2 linked regions of the Alligator mississippiensis genome follow. The protein of the gene in region 2 purifies or fractionates together with the protein of the main gene of each other region. This does not show direct contact. Links are inferred from orthologs where the notes say so. Each region holds a gene or a part of one and is shown on either strand. Other genes may lie near its edges.

Region 1 (8,752 bases), on a different chromosome or scaffold from region 2:
TTCAGCCTTCTGCACAGAGGGCTTTTTTGTTAAGAGTATGACACAAGGTAAGAAAACCTGCTTTACTGTAACAAATGCCTTGTACTATACAAAACTGATGAAGCCTCTTTGGGTCAAGAAACAGGTGCATGAAAAAGCCCCTTTCCCTTTTCTGCTGTACACCAGAGATTACACAATGTTTTCCTAAAGTGGACCTCAGCCTCAAAGAGAGAATGCGACACTGATATATAATAATCACACAGCAAAGGTAGTCTCATTGAAGTCAGGCTTGGGAGTAAAGATATCATAAAAAGCTGAGAAATTCTCTCTTCTCATGGACCACTTGTGATTTCAATCATGACAGCAGCCTCTCTCTCCTCATTCCAAATCAAGTAGGCTGCTTACAGACATTAAAGAAAAGAAAACAAAACAAAACGGGGGGGGTTACTTTAAACTCTATGCGCCCCCATGCCGAGCCCAGCACATGCCCAGAAAAGGCATCATATTAGCTGATGGGCAAGCCAGGTGCAACTATATAGATCGGGCACTTTAGTAGGGCTTTTTGGTGCTTTTACCTAATAGCTGATTGAATCAGCTTTAGAAAGAAGCACCAAAAAGCCCTGCTGAAGTGCCCAATCTATACACATGCTGCAGAGCTAAGTCGAAATAACTGCCTCTTGTGGTAAACCAAGTTTTTGGGAGCTTTTTTCCACATCTGTCAGCACCCATAATGTCTCTGTGGAAACCACACCAAGTACTGACAAAGTAAAACAATATTAAGAATATATTCTTCAGCAGTTTATTGTGTAAAAGTAAGTGATATCTCCTTAGCACCAGCCTATTCTCCACAACCAACAGGAAACGTTTCACAGACAACAGGCTTTAAAAATCAGCTTTGCACACTGACAGTATCAGGGAGACCCTTGCCTCCTGGAGGGCAAGGGTCTCCCTGATACTGTCAGTGTGCAAAGTATCAGGAGTTTGCACACAAAAACTCAAGGAGTTTTGTTTTCTGAAGTGTTAACATATACAAGAACCTAGAAATAACAAACATCTGGAGCTTAATGCTGCCAGGTTCCTGGCTACCACAGCTCCTTGAAGCCAATGAAAGTGGAGGGTGCTAGTTTTCTTGCTGGAAGCACTCAGAACCTCACAGAAGCTTGTTTGTTATTATAGGGGAGAGGAAGCAAGGTTGAAAGTTGTCCTTATGTGACACTGACAGACCCATGAGGGATCCCCACACTCCTTACTTGTCACTGTCCCACATTCAAAATTCCCAGCAAGGATATTCCCTCCAATTCAGACAATATCTTAATCATCCGGAAGTTCTCAGAATTGTTAAGTGAACCAGAGAAATAAGGATGTAAATGGCAGCAGGAGCTACGTATTTCCAATATGTTGCTCCTCTCAAGTTTATTTTTGGTTTGTTTGTTTTTTCAGTCTAAAGCCAAGAGAGTCACATGGCATTAACGCGGCTCAGGTAAGAGTCTTCTGTCTTACCAACCTGCAATTAGACACAGTGATGTCAGCAAGAAATTGCTTAAAATACTTCTGACGTGCAACGTGAATGCTACATTTATTATAAAAGCCATCTTGTTGGTTTTTATGCTAGGATGAGTTTTACTGGACGTGGTTTGAATAAGACTGCCAGGAAAGCCAGGAAATAAAAACATCTTTCAAAAATGTAGATTTCAAGCTGCTATTTTTTTTTTAATACAGTTACAGCATGAAATTCTAAATTAAAGGCCGTGGTAGAATCCAACACTGAGGTGTTTGATATCAAAGTGTTGAGGGGGCTCGCAAAATCTAATCATTTTCTCTCTTAAAACAGGGAAAATGATATTGGTTCTTTGGTATGAATATTCGATTGCAGACTCTGCAATTAAGGTATTATAGCGTTGTTTTAGCCCACAAGAAACAGAGAGAAAAACTGACCTGTATGTGTTACTTAATCAAGAAGACAGATCTACTGAAAAAGCTAAGTAGCAGCCAAAAGTGGCGAAAAGTAAATTAGATTTATAAAAATGTAACTGTAATAAGCTTATTAAAAAGCAGAACAAGTGAGGACTTTTTAAAGAGTAAAAAAAATTAAATACATATCAGTGTCAAAGTGCCCTTTTGACAGGTCCTCATAATTATATTAAAAAAGCAGTAAATATTCAAGATCAAGGAAAAACAGCTAAGCCTCTTTCTAGGAAAACGCACAAAACAAAATAACTGTTTCTGCATATTTTATCTAAATTTAACAGCATATATGCAAGGAAGCTATGAACTGAATCTTTTGCCGTCTCCAAATAGAAAACCTTTTACCATCTCCAACTAAAAAAAGTGTTCTAAACTTTGCAGAAGTGTGGTATAAACCCAGACAAATTACGCAGCAACAAAGGGGCTGGTAACTGATCAGTACAAGCTTCCCCACCTTCTAGTCAATTGACAAATTCATAGACTAGTCTTCAATCCACACCCCGGGAATTTACATAGATAACTCCTATTATATACACAGGTAACTCCTATTAGCGCAAACACCAATTCTCTCTTTACTGAGATTAATCACAAAAAACAAAAGGCCAGTATATTTCCATTTTGAAAATATAATACAGTATATTCAAAATGGAAATACTGGCCTTTGTGACTGAAGTCAGTAAAGAGAGAATTGTTCGCACTAATAGGAGTTATCAATGTATATAATAGGAGTTATCTATGCAAATTCCCTGGGTGTCAATTGAAGACTAGCCTATGAATTTGTCAGTTGACTAGAAGGTGGGGAAGCTTGTCCTTGAAGAGAGAATTGGTGTTTGCACTAATGGGAGTTATTTATGTATATAATAGGAGCTACTTATATATGTAGTTCAGTATCTGAGAAGTCTAGTGATTTATTTAGGTGCCTAACTTCAGCCAACATGTTAGTAAACAACAACAAAAAGCTTTTCCTTAAAAATCAGCAACTCTACAGCAATTTTTTGGCCTCCCCACTCACACAAAAAATGAGCTCTCCCTCCCCCTCCTAACTCATTTTAATCAGTATTTTAGCCATTTGAAACTTCAGGCTCTTTTTCAGCGTCTGTAACACAACCGTTTGTCATTGCACGGAGTTTTACCCAAGAGCCGGACGTAGCGAAGCACTCGTCAACCGCCTCTTACTTTTGAGCTGCCCCTTGACGTCCCGGTCTTCACTCGAGTGCTCCTCTTCGTAGTGCGACTGAAGCTGATAGAAGGACTGAAGATCCTTCAGGCACAGTGGGCACAGGAAGCCCTCTCGCACCTCCCCGGGGTCATCGAACGGCGGCGGGTAGCTCGATGCCATGACGGCTCGACGGGTCTCAGCGGCACCCGACCAGGCCCGTGCTCTTCAGCGGCATCGCACCCGGGCGGGGTGCAGCATCGTCCGTGGTGCCTGGGAAGAGACCCGCGGAGCAGTTATTGTGCCCCCCACAAATGGCTGAACCAGTCACCCTCTCCCATCTGAATAGCCCGGCTGCAGCTTACAGCCAGGACCTCCCGGAGACCAGAGGCAGCCCCACAGCCGACGCGGACCTCCCGGACAGCGGCACCTTCTTCGTGCCCCCTCGAAGGTGCCAAACACGTGACTCGTCTCAGGGGGGCCAAACCTTTGCCCCCCGTGCTGGGCCCAGCCTAAACCCCAGGGGGAGGGGTCCTGCATGGGGGAGGGGCAGCGGAGCCGCCCCCACGTGCCCCCGGCCTCGCTTCTCGGCCCAGCCCCACCCCGGGATGAGGCACGGCCTGTCCGGGCCCCGACCAGCACCTCCCCCGCCCGCTGCGGGCGCCTCATGGCGCCGCCTGTGAGGAAACCCTCCCCTCCCCCCGGCCTGCGGGGGCCACTCACCTCCGGGCCCAGCGAGCGCTGCGGGGAGCGGCGCGCCGAGCCAGCGATAGCACAGCCGAGAGGGCGGGGCCGAGCGCAGGGCGCGCCGCCGAGCGCCGAGCGATGGATGGGCGCGCGGGGCATGCTGGGAAAGGGGCGCGAGGCCACGCCCCGGTGCGGGCGGCCCGGCCTGAGAGGCGCCGCCTGGGCCCTTCCCGCCCACGGGGCCCAGCGCCGCAGGGAGATTGGCCACAGAAGCCCACCCCCACCTCAGCCAGCTGGGCCCAGTGTCAGGCCAGGGGGCAGATCCATACGTCTCCAGTGGCTTCTTTCCTCCTCGAGGAACCGCTGCGTTGCGGAGGGCTGGCTCGCTTCACGCCTGGCGTTTGCGCGAGGCGGTTGAGCGCGCCCACCTGCGGCAAAGGTGGACGCGGCGGCACGAGGCGGCCGGTAGATGCAATTGCGTGCCGGGTGCTTCCAGCGAAGAAGACCCGGAGAATTGGGCCTACCACGTGTAGCGGAGTTGGCTTGCCTGCCACCGCCTCGCATATAACATGAGTGTATATGTGCACGTGCTCCTGTGAGACGGATTTCCAGATCGTAGCCTGTTTGGAGTGGGTTTCAAGCCGTGGGACCGTGTGTTTTAGGCCCAACCCTTCCATTGGCTGCCAGCGATAATTCTGCAGTTCGCAGCCACGCACCTGAGCATGCTGGGAACAGACCGGAGGTTTCTAATACGCCCGACAGGTTTCGTTCTCAGAGCCCCCCCACAAAGTTGTATGTTTGGCCCTGCTCTCTCTAGCGTAGATCCCACTTTGTTCCTCAAGGTAGGAGCATCATGTCTCCCTAGTGATACAGTTATTGCTTTATTTCACCTGGAAGAGGCCTGTGTTGTACTACTGCATATTACCTAGACCAGCGGTTCCCAAACTGACAGATTGCATGCGGCCAATTTAAAACGATACAACATGAAGTACCACCAGCAAATTTTTGTCATATAAAGTAATTATAATCAATCTGTTAACGTACCACTGAGAGGTTGTCTGCATACCACTTAGGGTGGCCATCATAGAGGACATTCTGGTTTTCTGCTACTCTGTCCTCTTTGGTACAAAGCCCGACACCTTTATGTTCTCTATTTTTCTTTTCAAGAAAAATAGAAAAATAAAAAAATATTTTTCTCTTCAAGAAAAATAGAGGACATAAAGGCATCGGGTTTCGTCTCAATAGAGGACAGAGGACAACCAGACTGTCCTCTGTGATGACCACCCTAGTACCTCTGATGGTACGTGTACCACAGATTGGGAACCGCTGATCTAGACCAATGATTCCCAGCTTTTTTAGGCTCAAGGCACCCCTCATTAGACTCAAAGCTTCTTTAATTGTTATGAGTTGAGCAGCACCCTATTTCAAAAACTAACTTATTTATTCCTTGCAGAGGAGCTGAGTAGGGACAAAGGAGTGTGGCCAAGCAGGGGTAAGCCTGGGCTTGTGCTTATCTACTAATCTCACACCTCCTACACCCATCAAAGAATTGAAAGAATCTCACCCTGGTTAAGAATAAATGACCTAGACATATGACCCCTTCTTACATTATTAGTACTTAATAAGAAATAGGATGTTTCTGGGCACTGCTATGAACAGTCTTTTTATCTGAGGGTCAGTCATTTAAAACCACTTCAGCTCCCAACAGGAGTTAAGGGTTATTATTTTCCAAGGTACAAAGGGTTAAGTGCCTACCTCCCCTTTGACTTAAAATTCTTCCCAGGTAAGTGGTATTTGGTGGCCTCACGTGAGATTAATTTGATGGGTCTTATTTTCACCTAGCTCACTACCGCAGTTTCCACTAATTAGCAAACTTGGTAAAGGCCAAGAACTGGGTGCTCCGCATGACCTGTAATACTTCTGATATATCAGAGGAATTCTGTATTGTACCAGTCTGCTTATTTTTGTTCTACTTGACCCATGCAGAGCTCAGTGTTCACATCTTACCGTTCCAGCTCTTTCATTTTTTTTAAAGCCAAGAAGAACAATTAGTCCATGTTAGAAACTAACCTGGTATCAAATTTTGGTATCTGTTCTGCAGTCTGATCCAGGTGGGCAACCCACACTACATTATCGTTTTCATCACCTTTTGCATCACACTGAATTTGGCCCATTTTGCTGTTACATAACTGCAATCTTACAGAAGCATAAGGGGGAAATAAAGGCTCAGAACTGACCTGATTTAGTCACAGGAATAATTGAATGTTATAAATAACCAAAGGAGCTGAATTTTTAAATAACCAATTTGAGTTGGATCCATTACTCTCTACTTCTCAAAACAATGCAGTCTTGGTTCAATTACTTGCAGAGAGAACCAGGCAGCTATGAAAAAGAATGTAGAATCCCACTTATAATCACTTCCCTCTTTAACATGGAAAATGCAGGCTCAAGACCAATTTGCTGTTAAAAGCAGAGATGACTTTTATGATGCTGTAAAGGAAAAAATTCCCCTCTTATGATACTGCAGCTCTGATGCTATTAACAAATTGTATTGTATATAATAAACCATTAGTGTATTTAAAAGGTGTATTTGATTTCTTCTTTACATTAACAGAGCATATTGATCAAAAAGTTTTACGAACACGAATAGTGGGGTTTTTTTTAAATAATGCTATTGATTTAATTTCAAAACATAAGAATGTCCTCAGCCCATAAAGACAGAGAAGAAAGAGAATGTTAATTGCTGCACTGTACCAAGGCAGTACAATTGGCTTAAGTATAAGGTAATGCTTATCTATACTGCTGCTGGTATCCATGGTCATCTATATAAGTGCTTTTAGGATATCTTTTCCTGGGGTTTATGTAAGGAAAATGGTGATATGTAAAAGGGATTCAGTCTGAGGAATGTGTTAATAAACTTGTGGCTCACATTATTATTAGATGAGATAACCTGGTTATTTCTTTTTCAGTGTGACAAATGAGTAGATTTTTTTTTGAATGACATGTTGTATAAAGCCATCAAGATGCGCATATGCTTTAGAACCCCAACCCTGGCCACTGATCCTATGCTTGCAGTACCCTGTACCTATGAGTTATCTCACTGAAACCAACTGGGTTCTTCTTGCATAGATTTATGGCTAATATCTGGATGTGAATGAATACACAGCTGACTTTCCCCTTCTTCCATTTCCTGACACTTGTCTGACCTCATTTACTACATCACTTCTCTAGTAAGCACCATTCCCTGTGAATAATTAGGGGTGTGAGTCATGATTGCAGGTTTGGGCTCTCAGGCTTTAGTCCTGTGGTTTGTTCTCTCTGGGAGTGCTCAGCTAGTGTTGAAGTTGCAGGGTAAGGCTTTGTCTCTATAAGGGAAAAGCCTAGAATAACTAATATGGAAGAGTAGCAACATCACATTAGCTCCTTGTGTGAGTGCTCTTATTCTACACTAAGAATACCATGCAAAGAAACTCCAGTTTGGAGGTAACCTGTTTGGAGTAGTTATTACTTGGACACTGCCTTGCTAGTTCTCACTAACTTCTGTGGCATTCCCTGGCTTGACAAGCCCTCATGTTGCAAGTCCTTTAGTGTGGCATCAGGTCTTGTCTCTAATGCATGTGATACAATCTCAAAACAGTGCTGGAAAATGTTCACAGAAGTGGCATGATGGCTGTCCCACAGACAACTGTCAACAAGCCAGTGGGGTTGAGGGTATGCATTTGACTTCACCAGAGACAGATCTGAGAGAGAAATCATAGTTTAATTACTATAAATGGTCTAGCAAGGTAGGGTGGGTTTGATTAACAAGAGAGTAGACTTGATATGCAACATTTATCCTGGATTGTACGACACATTTAAACAGACAGTGTGAGTCCCTGAGCCAGGGAGTAATGTTCTTTGTAAATGCAGATAACAGTTTTCAGGCAAGTACTCTCTGCTACAACTAGAATTGTTTGTTCCCACTGTGATGACTGCATGACATAGACCTCACGTAAAGGGGGATTCTCTGCTTTCCTTAATGGAACTCTCATTAGTCCCTACAGTAAGTACATCAAGTACATCATGTGGAATAGGAACACTCATGCTGCAAAAAGTGTTGTTCTTGCTTCTTGCAACACATCCTGGATTTCCCACACCCAGGTTCTTTGTAAACAGGGACCTCTTTACTGCATGCAAATGTCAAAGGGCTGTGATACAGGGGACTGTGCTCACAGTGAAGCATATGCACATGGGGACAAGCCCTGTGTCCAGCAGGGCTTTCCTGCACAGCCTGGGACTGGCCAGGACCTGTCCCGGTCTGGGGCAGGTCCCAGCCATCTCCGGGCTACATAGAGACTGCTCTGCGCAGCCTGGAGCTGGCTGGGATCTGCCCTTCCTCCGCAGGTGCTTCCCAGCCCTGTGCTTCAATTGGGAGAATAGGGCAGGAGGCTGCTGGTGAAGCAGTGTTAAGCTGCTCCTGTTAAGAGTCCCCCCCCCCACAGCTGTTTCCCAGCTCTGTGCCCAAATCGCTAGAATAGTCTACTGTGCAATAAACATCTTGTGTAGACACACCCACAGAGAAGTAAATAACAGGAAGTCATGGGCCAGACTCTCAGTAGATGTAAATTAGCATGGGTCCAATAGGCTGTACATTGATTTACACTAGCTCCCAATTTAGGCCTCAGTTTCCATTTTAGCTCCTCTCAGACTGTCTGTGTCTGGAATGATGCCCAGGCTGAAGTTTAAAATCATTTTGACAGATACCAGTGGTATCGTCTAGACCTTTCTCTCCTATCCTAGGATGTTTTTTTTTCATACTAAGTATTGAGCTCATTTTATCTTTTGCAGCATCTGAGAAAAGTACCTCTGTAGCAGCTTCTTTGAACATATTTATGTTCAGTTTGTTGTTTTAAAAAAGCTACACAGAATATTCCAGTTTCATTTGTGTGTGCAGCAGTCCTCCTGGATGAGAGCAGAACTTCTTGG
Region 2 (9,580 bases):
AGTGCAAGGGTTTGGGGGGGGGGAAACTGTACCCCAAATTCTTGAAAGCAAAACTCCTTTCACATGTATGTGTTACAACACAGGGGAGGTCAAAACTGCAGAGCTGGTAGCTCTTGCTGAGGCCACAAAGCCTGCCAGGTTTCAAGAAGATCGGTGCAGGGGTTTGAGGGAAACTGCCCCTCAAGCTGTGGACAAGCAAAACTCATGCCATGGGTGACACTGTATGCGTTAAGGCACAGCGGGGTGACAGCTGCAGGGATGGTGGCCCCTGCTGCAGCCATGAAGCCTGCCAGCTGTCGAGGAGATTGGTGCAGGGGTTCTGGGGCCCTGCACCCCTTGCTGCTGACAGACAAAACTTGTGCCACCCTATCAATAGGTGGTCACTATCCTTAGGTGGTCACTAAGTTACCTTGCACCTGCAGATCCCCCACCAAGTTGTCCCCTGTGGCCAGTACCAAGTCTAGTAAGGCATTTCCCCTAGTGGGAACACGTACCTCCTGCAATAGGTGAAGGTCCTGTAAGAAGGTTAGAAACTTTTGTGAATGGGCAGACCTGGCTGCCTATTTCTCCCAGCAGATGTCTGGGAAGTTAAAAGTCACCCATGACAACCAGGTTCTTTGAGCGTGCTGCCTCTAAGAGCCATCTTGAGAATTCTAGGCCTAGCTCATCCCCCTGGTGTGGGGGTCTGTAGTAGACCCCCCACTACCATGTCCCTTTCACCCTGACCCCCCTGTAACCTGACCCATAGTACCTCAATTTGCCCTTCTTCCTGGCCCAAGTTAACTACGGAAGATGTATATTGCTCCTTAACATAGAGAGCAACTGATGACTCTGAAACTTGTGCTAAGCTTGGGCCTACTCACAAAAGTTAAAATACAGAATAATAATACTAAATGCATATTGCAAGAGGATGCAAGTTCATGGCTAGGCCATCTAAGAAGGAATAACGAAGCAACTCTTCCAGCTTATCTTGCTATATTCAAGGTAATTTCAAGCAGACTCTTAGTTGTCTGGTGTGTAACCATATGAAATGTCTATCCTTGATTAATTAGTATGGTAAATATTTCTTTTGCGACTAACTCGTGTTTATGTGCAGGAAGAGACATTCCCCATATGCAATAGATGTCTCCTCCTGATTTAGTATGTTTTTCCTGGCTGTTAATCAGTTTCTTGATAAATTTCAAACTGGATAACTTCTTGTTACTGAAGAAGGCAACTCATTCAAATTAGGAATTTCTGATAACCAGTAATGAGCAGGTTTTTCCTGTCAATTACTGCCTGGGACTCTCTTGATTTACACAACTAAAAGAATGCTTTGAAGATGCTAAAGCAAGGGTATAAAAAGGCAGTAAAACAGCAAACAGCATGCGCACTTCAAGAGTGCGAAATCTCTGACACCAGTTGCTGATACGCCCGACTTACTCGAGAAGTTGAAGAGAAACAGACCGCCTCTTCATCACCCGTTTGGTAAGAAATCATCACCTTATAGCTAATTACTGGACTTTGATTTGGTTTGGGCTCACTCGACTTGATTTTAAATACTAGTAGTAAATAAAGCCATTCTGTCACTCATCCAACGAGGTGTCGTGTCAATCCCTGGGATAGTCCAGAACCCTACATTTTTATTTGCCAACACAACGCCCTTCACCACCCCCCCCCCACCCCCCCGTCCTGTCTGTACAGCCTGTAGCCCTCAATGTCCACTGCCCAGTCATGGGTACGATGACTAGTTAAACTAAAAACGTAGCAAACTCTGTAGATATAAGGTTGGTCTAATAAAAGGTATCATCTCTGAACCAAGAGTTCTAGAGGTTTGCATTTCTCTGTAGTTATGAGGAATTCTTGGTGACCTTCTTGATATAATCCCAACAGTTTTAACAAATTCCCCCTACCCTCTCATAAGCAGGCACCATAGAGCACACCACTCTTATAAAACCATCACAAAAAAGTATCCACCTGGATATACAACCTACTTGGGCACACTTTATAACATAAATGAGAGAGAAAAAAAAGAAAAATACAGAAGATTGCCATCTCCAAAATAGTGGACAAGGCAAAGTTTGCAGATGAGCAAACTAATACCCTCACCCTGCAAGCATATGCCCCTGTGCTGATGTTATGGACTTGAAATTGAGAGCTTAGGCTCAGAAATAGGCAGACAAGCACGTGACTAAATATTTACAGGATTGAGGTGTTATATGACACGTGCACGATCCACTCAGCTGAAATCAAGAAGCTGGAGAGATCAAACACGGAGACGGAACTGCCTTACCTTCGTGGGTCGTAAGAAACAGATTGCTTTCAAGTGTTTCATGGTCTCTCTGTTCGAAGAATCAATGCGCTCAAAGAGGTAAACTTCTTTCTGCAGGATCTCTGACTGGGTGTACACCATGCTTACAATACTGGTCTGCAGCAAAAGAAAGCAGCCGTTATTTCAACTCACCGGTACCATCTGATGACATACTAGATGAGACGAAGGAATGGTGTCTAATGGCTAAAACATAAAGGACTGGGAGTCAGGCCTCCTGATTTTACTTCCAGGCCTTGCCAAAGATTTGCTTCACATAGTTTTAATTCCTGGGCCATAGTTTTCTATGGGGAAATTGTAAGGTTCACTTTAATTGTATTTTTAACCCAGAAGCCTCAGTGCAAGATATAGCCTCAGCTGAATTTATAGCTCACGATAATAGACCCTATTAAGCTTAGTAGCAAATCTATTGGGATGTGAAGAAAGGCATAACACATGCATCCACATCCACTGCATGCTCACCTGATCTTCATCTCCCTCCAAAGCGAACATAAAACTGCTTGCACCTCAGCCCTTCTCATTTATTCTAGCAGTCTGTAGCCTCAGCAACTCAAAGACCCAGCAAAATGTCCCCCCCCACCCCATTCCCTCCTTGAAGAAGGGATATTGCACTTGAAAAGTAGGAGAGCTGCACTTCTGTCTGCACCCGAAAAGACCAAAGATTAGAGAGGAAGGAAAGCATAATACAGTTGGATACAAATTAAATTTAAAAAAAACAACCCAAGGCCAAATTAGCTAAAACTAAATTCCCAATCCAAGCCTCCAGAACTATAAGTGGTGCTACTACTGGCAAATATCCTCCTAGGCCTTCAGATGTTTCCAAAACCTTTGGCAGGCATCCTACTTGCAGGCCCAACCCCGGAGGCTCAGGGTTCGGATGCCCCCCGAGTTTTGCTTGCCCTCAGCCAGAAGGCCCTCGAAGCAAGCAAGGGAGGAGACTCCCATTTCCATCAAGCGGGCAGCAAACCACACCAGAACAGCAGTTCAGGAAAAACTGCCTTCTGACAGTATAGTCGTCCCCCTGCTTCTCAGGCAGGGGCAGCCGGGATGCTGAGCCACAGGGGAGCTGTGGAGAAAAAAAAACCCCTCTGCAAACCGCAGCCCGCAATTCAGGAAGGGCAGAAGCGCCGCCAGCACTCCCAGCTCACCGTTTCTTTATCCATCAAGAGGACCTTCATCCCCGGCCCGCTGTCCTCGATCATCTTGGACACATACTGCTTCACTGCAAACACCACGTTCATTTTCCTTCTCCCCACACCACCACCACCCCTCCGACAACTCGATCCCCCGCTGCAAGGGTGAAAGCCCAGCAGGCAGCTCCTCTCCCCGGTGCAGCTGATCGGCTTCACTTCCTCCTGCGGCGGCCCTGGGAGCTGTAGTCCGCGCGCCGAAGCCCGGCGCCCGCCAGCAGCGGGGTTGCACTACAAGTCCCAGCCTCCTGCTCCTGCTCCTGCTCCTGCTCCTGCTCCTGCTCCTGCTCCCGCTCCCGTTCCCGTTCCCGTTCCCGCTCCCGCTGCCGCTGCCTGCAGCCGGCCGGGCGGGCCTGAGTGCGCCGCGCTCTCGGGCAGCCTTGACAGCCCTTCGCTGCGCGTGCGAGTGCGAGTGCGGCTGCGCGGGGAGGTCTTGCACAGGAGGCGTTTTGCAAAGCACAGCATTGCAACCACCTGCGGGGGCAGCCCTTCCTCGTGGGTTCAAAAAAAAAAAAACCCAAAAAAACTCCTATAGCTCTCTTGCAAAAAAACAAACAAAACAAAACGGAGCGATCATTTGCAGCCCCTGATGCTGCCATGTTGCACCAGATCAAATCCCCAACGTGCGGGCTCGTTGCGTTTTTAATAATAATAATAATTATTATTATTATTATGCCTCCATGTTGCACCAGATCAAATCCCCAACGTGCGGGCTCGTTGCTTTTTTTTATTATTATTATTACGAATTATTATTATTTAGCCTCTGATGCGGGCTCCTTGCACTCTGCAAGTGTCACTGAGGAGGGAGGCGAGGTGGGGAAAGAAGTGGCCGCCTGGGCCTCATCGCAGCTGGTTGGGGTGGGGCGTGACTCCGAATTGAGTCCGCCCTTCGCAAGCGTTGCAGGCAGCCTGCCCCCCCCCCCCCCCCACGGGCGGTTGCAGCCCCCGCGCGACCGTTACGGGGCGGGGCCCTCGTCTCCTCCCTGAGGGGTGAGGAGTGGGGCGCCCCCGCCCCCGCCTCCAGCGCCTGGGGGTGCGCCCGCTCCTGGGGATGAGCTCTGTGCAGACACCTCAGGGTGGGGGTCTCATCCCCACCGCCACAAGACACATGGGTCTCCTGTCTGAGGGTGGAGGGGCTGTAGGGGTCTCACCCCCCCTACCACAAGACACACCGGTTTCCTGTCAGGAATAAAAACATGACCCCCCTTCACTGGGGTGACCGGCAGGGTCTTCAGGCAGGCTGTGAGGGTCTCCCAGCTTCCCGGCTTGAATAATAATAGGGTTGTGGGGTGTCCCCCAGCCCCTCAGGGCTGAGGGGGTTTGTCAGGGTCTTCCTAGCTGGGATAATACAGCGGGGAGGGTCATTTAAAGCCCCCAACATCTTTTTGCAGCAGAGAAAGGGGAGAGCTGGGGTGGGGTTTCCAGTCCCAAGCCTTGTTGGACCAGGGGGGATGCTGGGGGTGAGGAATGAGCCCCAGGCTCCTTCTCCCTCAGCTAGGAGAGGGGAAGGGTTGAGGTCCCTCCTGGAAGTTGTGCCTGGCCATTAAAAAGTTCAGCCTGTCCTCTCTGTGAGACCTGGCTTTTGTGTGCAAAATACAGCTTGGGAATCTCTGACGTTTCATAGCACAGTGTTAGATGCAGGCTTCCTCCCCACCTTGGGGTAGGGTAGCTGGGTCAGGCTGTGTATTATTTATGTGCGTGCTATCTGCTGTCATCTACCCTTGAAGTCTCAGCCGCCCTCAGCCTCTATTAAGTTTGCTAGGAGCCCTCCCATAAGGGCATCCAACATCCCACTCAGCAGGACTCCTGGCACTAACATCCTGCTGATCCTGTTGTTACCATGTGTAAAAAAACCAAAATAGGAATCGCTGCGTGGGATGTGGTTCAAACATGGACGCTCTGGCTGACAAACTGTGCTCTACCATAGTTCAGGGTTATACTGCATAATTACTGTAGTTCAAGATTGAACCGTGGGGATTTTATGGATGCTAATACTTCTGTTGACAGTGTAACATCTTGGGGATTTATTTCTTTTGGCATTCAGGGGAATTGTGAACTTTGAGACATCATAAGATATCTAGATGACGGCAGACCCCCAGTCCTGCAGAAACGTGTATACTTAGCTTTATTAGGCGCATAGCTAAGTATGCTTGCAGAATCAGCATCATTATAGGATCCCATGGGATAAAACAGTAGGACCCAATTCTTGATCCTGCCTGTGCCACTGGCTTACTGTACAGCTGAGTCACTTGGGCTCAATTTCCCCCAGGTGTAAAACAAGGACCATGGTGCTTGCTTTCCTTTTTTAATCGCTTTCAGATCTATCCAGGAAAAGTGTATTACAGTACACGACTGCTATTGCATTTTTGATCTATGGCCACATCCATACTTGAAAGGTTTACTGGCAGCGTTTGTGACTGCATACTGCTAATGACCCTGTCGTTTCACTGGAGACTTGGCTGCGTTTGCTGCGTTTGCTGGTGCAAAACATCATCATAGTGGCAAAAAGGCTACAGTTTGGGTAGGAATCCTGCTATGTCTCAGGCTAGTGTGATGTACTGCTTTGTGTCACTGTTTCCAGTGGTCTGAGAGAGAGCAGCACTCCTCCCAGACGTGGGTAGGAGCTAAAGGGCAAGTTCCCGTCATCTTCTCCTTTCCCTCTGCTTAAAAAGTAAATTTCCTACCGTTCCTTCCATTTAGCTATTAAAAACAGACTGCGGGAAAAGAAGGCTTAAAGTAGGAAAATAGTAGCATGCACTGAAGGAAATAGGTTTAGTCTATGCTCATCTTTAGGTTTGTTTGTTTTGGGGGTTTTTTTGTTTTGTTTTTTTGTGTGTTCCAGGTTTCACTTTCAAAATGCCATTACTTAAAAAACAGGGTAAGTGCCAACTCTTGAATATCTTTATGAGAGGTATATCACATGGCCAGGAGTAAGATCAACAATGCTATCTTTTCAGGTATTATGTACACCAGAGTAATGAGGCTCAACTGTTGATTTGGGAAAGTTGATCGTACCATATTATCCAAAACGCAGCCACAAATTCTGTAAGATGCTGAGCTAAGCTCCTTTTTGAGGCCGTATTAGAGAGGACAGTCAGTCTTGGAGGATCCAGGTGCTTAGAAACCTTGGACCCACTTCTCCATTTACCCTAGTAAGAGTTGGAACGATTGCATATTAATCAGTAAATGCAGTCTGTGTGCACAAAAAGAGTTTCCACAAGTCAGCAGGACAGCTATAGTTACATCTGCTTTGCAGGCCAAGGGATTGTAGATGTACCCATGCTGGCTTGAAACTAGGCACCTGCAGTAGTACAAAGCTAAGTACCTGGGTATTTACCCCTTTTCTGGTGGGTTCTTCAGCCTGCACAGTTCTATGCTGCTACGGTTATACCGGTATCAGTACCGTGTTTAAAGTTCTCTCTGGTATGTCTACAGTGGCTGTGAAATCTCACCTTGGACTGTGATATAGACTTTCTGTAAGAAATTAACATAAAACAGATACAGTATTTATAAATACAGCTGGGTCTTAGTTTAGTCATTCTGTACTTTAAATCCACACATCTGCAGAGATCTACCCCCTGGAGTCCTGTTCATCTCTATGGGTTGTGCCGGGTCTGCCTACCTGGAACAATAGGCACAGTTACAACCTATCCAGATTTTGACAGTCTTTAGAAGCAGTGGGTCTCTGTGCTATTTGTTCTGCTGCTATTATTATTCCTGAATATGACCATTTTGGAAGAGAGCTATTATATTCATAAAAATGTAATCCTCTAATATCTGCATGTTTTATACAGAAAACGGTGAGCAGGTGCTGGTGAAAAATGAAAGCTATTTGCAAACCTTGTAAGTACCTTCTCATAAAAGCTGACTAAAAGGATCTCTTTCATCTTGCTCAGGTTTTACCTTTTGTTCTGCTTGATTTACATTTAATATACACCAAAATAAGTTGCAAAAATATGGACAGTCTAAAATGTCCACTTTTTTTTTTTTTAGGAAGAATAAGGATCAGAGAAAAAGACTTGTCCATGAAATCTGTACCTTTTTAGACAGCAGTCAGTCTGTAAGTAAGACATTGATCAGTATATTATTAATATTTAGCCTCTAAGAAGTGAATTTTACATATGTAGATGAGAATCTCTTTGGACTGCTGTTACAATTATTATGCCCATGTAATTAGGCTGGTTAGGGGCATCTTTTTAAACTGATGGTTAGATCATGTGACTGTTAGAATAGATGCTGTTTTTTACCCATACTCACGAGAATCTGGTTCACTACTGTAAGTATATTTATATGGATATAACTGCATAGCTGAGTGGAGGAATTATATTGTTTTCAGTTTTACATAGTTAATCTGCAGCTATGAAAACAAGCACACGCAAATTCCTGTATAATCTACATCGGTTTGATATACCAGTGATATACAGGGATCAAAAACAGGAAGGAATCAACTGTACTAGGCTATTACTGTCCCTTGCCACTAGATGGAAATCATGATCAAGTAACAGCACATTAGCCTTTATCACACGGCAACCCTGGATTGAACCCAAACAAAACCTAAATTGATGCAACTTATATTAGTATGCATTTTATCCTTTTCACGCAGGTATAACTGATCATTCTCCGCTGGATAGGGTTGAGGTAGACTGATTTAGGGGTTTGTCTTATCTGTCTAGCACAATGCCACTTAAATGTTGTCTGCTTCTGCACTACAATAAATCAGTACTTGTTTGGGACATGTACAATATCTTATTTTGGTAAAAATGACTTGTGTGTTCAGGGGATAACAATAAATGTATACAATTAATATGAAAGTAGATCTCTTCAATTTCTATGATTTAAGTGTACAAGCCAAAGATGCCTTTCTTCCTCTCTTCCCCTACTTTCATAAACACATGATGCTTCCATGAGGAAAAACAAAAGAAAGGGAGACAAAGAGAAAAGTTCTGTAGCATCTCTAGAATGATGCAAACAGCAGCAGTTTTATAATCCTAGTTTTCAGTTTCAGCAATTGCATGAAGCCAAGGCACCCAGATTTGTTTGTAACATAGCATTACTACGCATGGAACATTGCAGTAATAAGCCTCGCAAGAACACGTGTGTTTTTGGAAGAAGGGGCTTTTCACCACACAATGCTTCCCTCTGGATTGGACAGGGTATTGCAGATTTTGCCCACACGTGGCATCCCCTGCCAATTGACACCTCCAGCTCTAATATTCTGCTGCTTTTGTGACTCAGTCCTCCCGACCAGGTCATGTTTAAGTCCCCACCATCCAGGGAAGAAGTTATCTATAAGAATTCTGACACTGTTTCTAAAATACACACCTGGGCTCTTCCTCATTTCCAGTCTTCTTTTAGAGTTAGAAGAGCTAAGGCGTGTCCCTTGGGGTCTTTTAATAGGAATCCTTTTGCCCATACAAATAAAATGCAATTCAAATATCTTATGCTCACCACAAAACTTGTATTTGTAGCCCCTTTAGACATTCCTTCAAGTGTTTCAGTACTTTTTTTGCAAAAGATTACCCCACAGAGCTAACTAGCCAGAACCTCCTCTACTTTTCCTGCAACATATACCACAGGTATTTCTCTTCTCAACTGAAATTCTTCCCTACTCAGTCCTCACTGACATTTTTCCAGCTCCTTTTTACATGCTTCTGCAGGTGTAATCTCAACATTGAATTTCCAATCCCACTACCCTTGCAGCATGAGTACTAATTGAGGTCACAGGTTCCAACCAACTATTTTTCTGCCAGTGGGGATGTATATACCATAGCACCTCTCTTTGCTGGTGGTGCTCATCAGCTCTTCATTTTAGTGATTCAGCTTGTTAGTAACATTCAGCCAATTACAATGTAATTTTTAAAAATGGCTCTGATTCTAGAATAAGAATTGAACATTGTCCCACATGGAACAGCAATGAACTCACATCACAATAGTCTCAAGACTCTTATATTTATTAATTCTATATGATTATGGTATTTATTGACTATATAAAAAAAGTTAACTTTCTTACAGTTGTTTAAACCATACACCTAACCAATACAGTATAATATTGTAAGCGTTTTAAAATCTGACAGCAGAATTG

The links.
Region 1: the proteins of VPS45 (region 2) and RBSN purify together in Homo sapiens (affinity purification with mass spectrometry; 4 studies listed by BioGRID and IntAct, counting the BioPlex papers as one, with this or other methods). This does not show direct contact. The link is inferred for Alligator mississippiensis from reciprocal best matches to the Homo sapiens genes VPS45 and RBSN.

Annotation. Positions count from the first base shown.
Region 1 is NC_081835.1:15,632,037-15,640,788, reverse strand, and holds the start of RBSN (rabenosyn-5), read right to left. Parts: upstream 3,927-8,752; 5' UTR 3,824-3,926; intron 3,374-3,823; 5' UTR 3,284-3,373; coding exon 3,121-3,283; intron 1-3,120. UniProt on the Homo sapiens protein: Rab4/Rab5 effector protein acting in early endocytic membrane fusion and membrane trafficking of recycling endosomes. Required for endosome fusion either homotypically or with clathrin coated vesicles.
Region 2 is NC_081838.1:18,213,361-18,222,940, reverse strand, and holds the start of VPS45 (vacuolar protein sorting-associated protein 45), read right to left. Parts: upstream 3,735-9,580; 5' UTR 3,550-3,734; coding exon 3,457-3,549; intron 2,408-3,456; coding exon 2,273-2,407; intron 1-2,272. Other genes in the region: uncharacterized protein LOC109282924, read left to right, coding at 4,695-4,740, 6,341-6,376, 7,293-7,341, 7,492-7,558. UniProt on the Homo sapiens protein: May play a role in vesicle-mediated protein trafficking from the Golgi stack through the trans-Golgi network.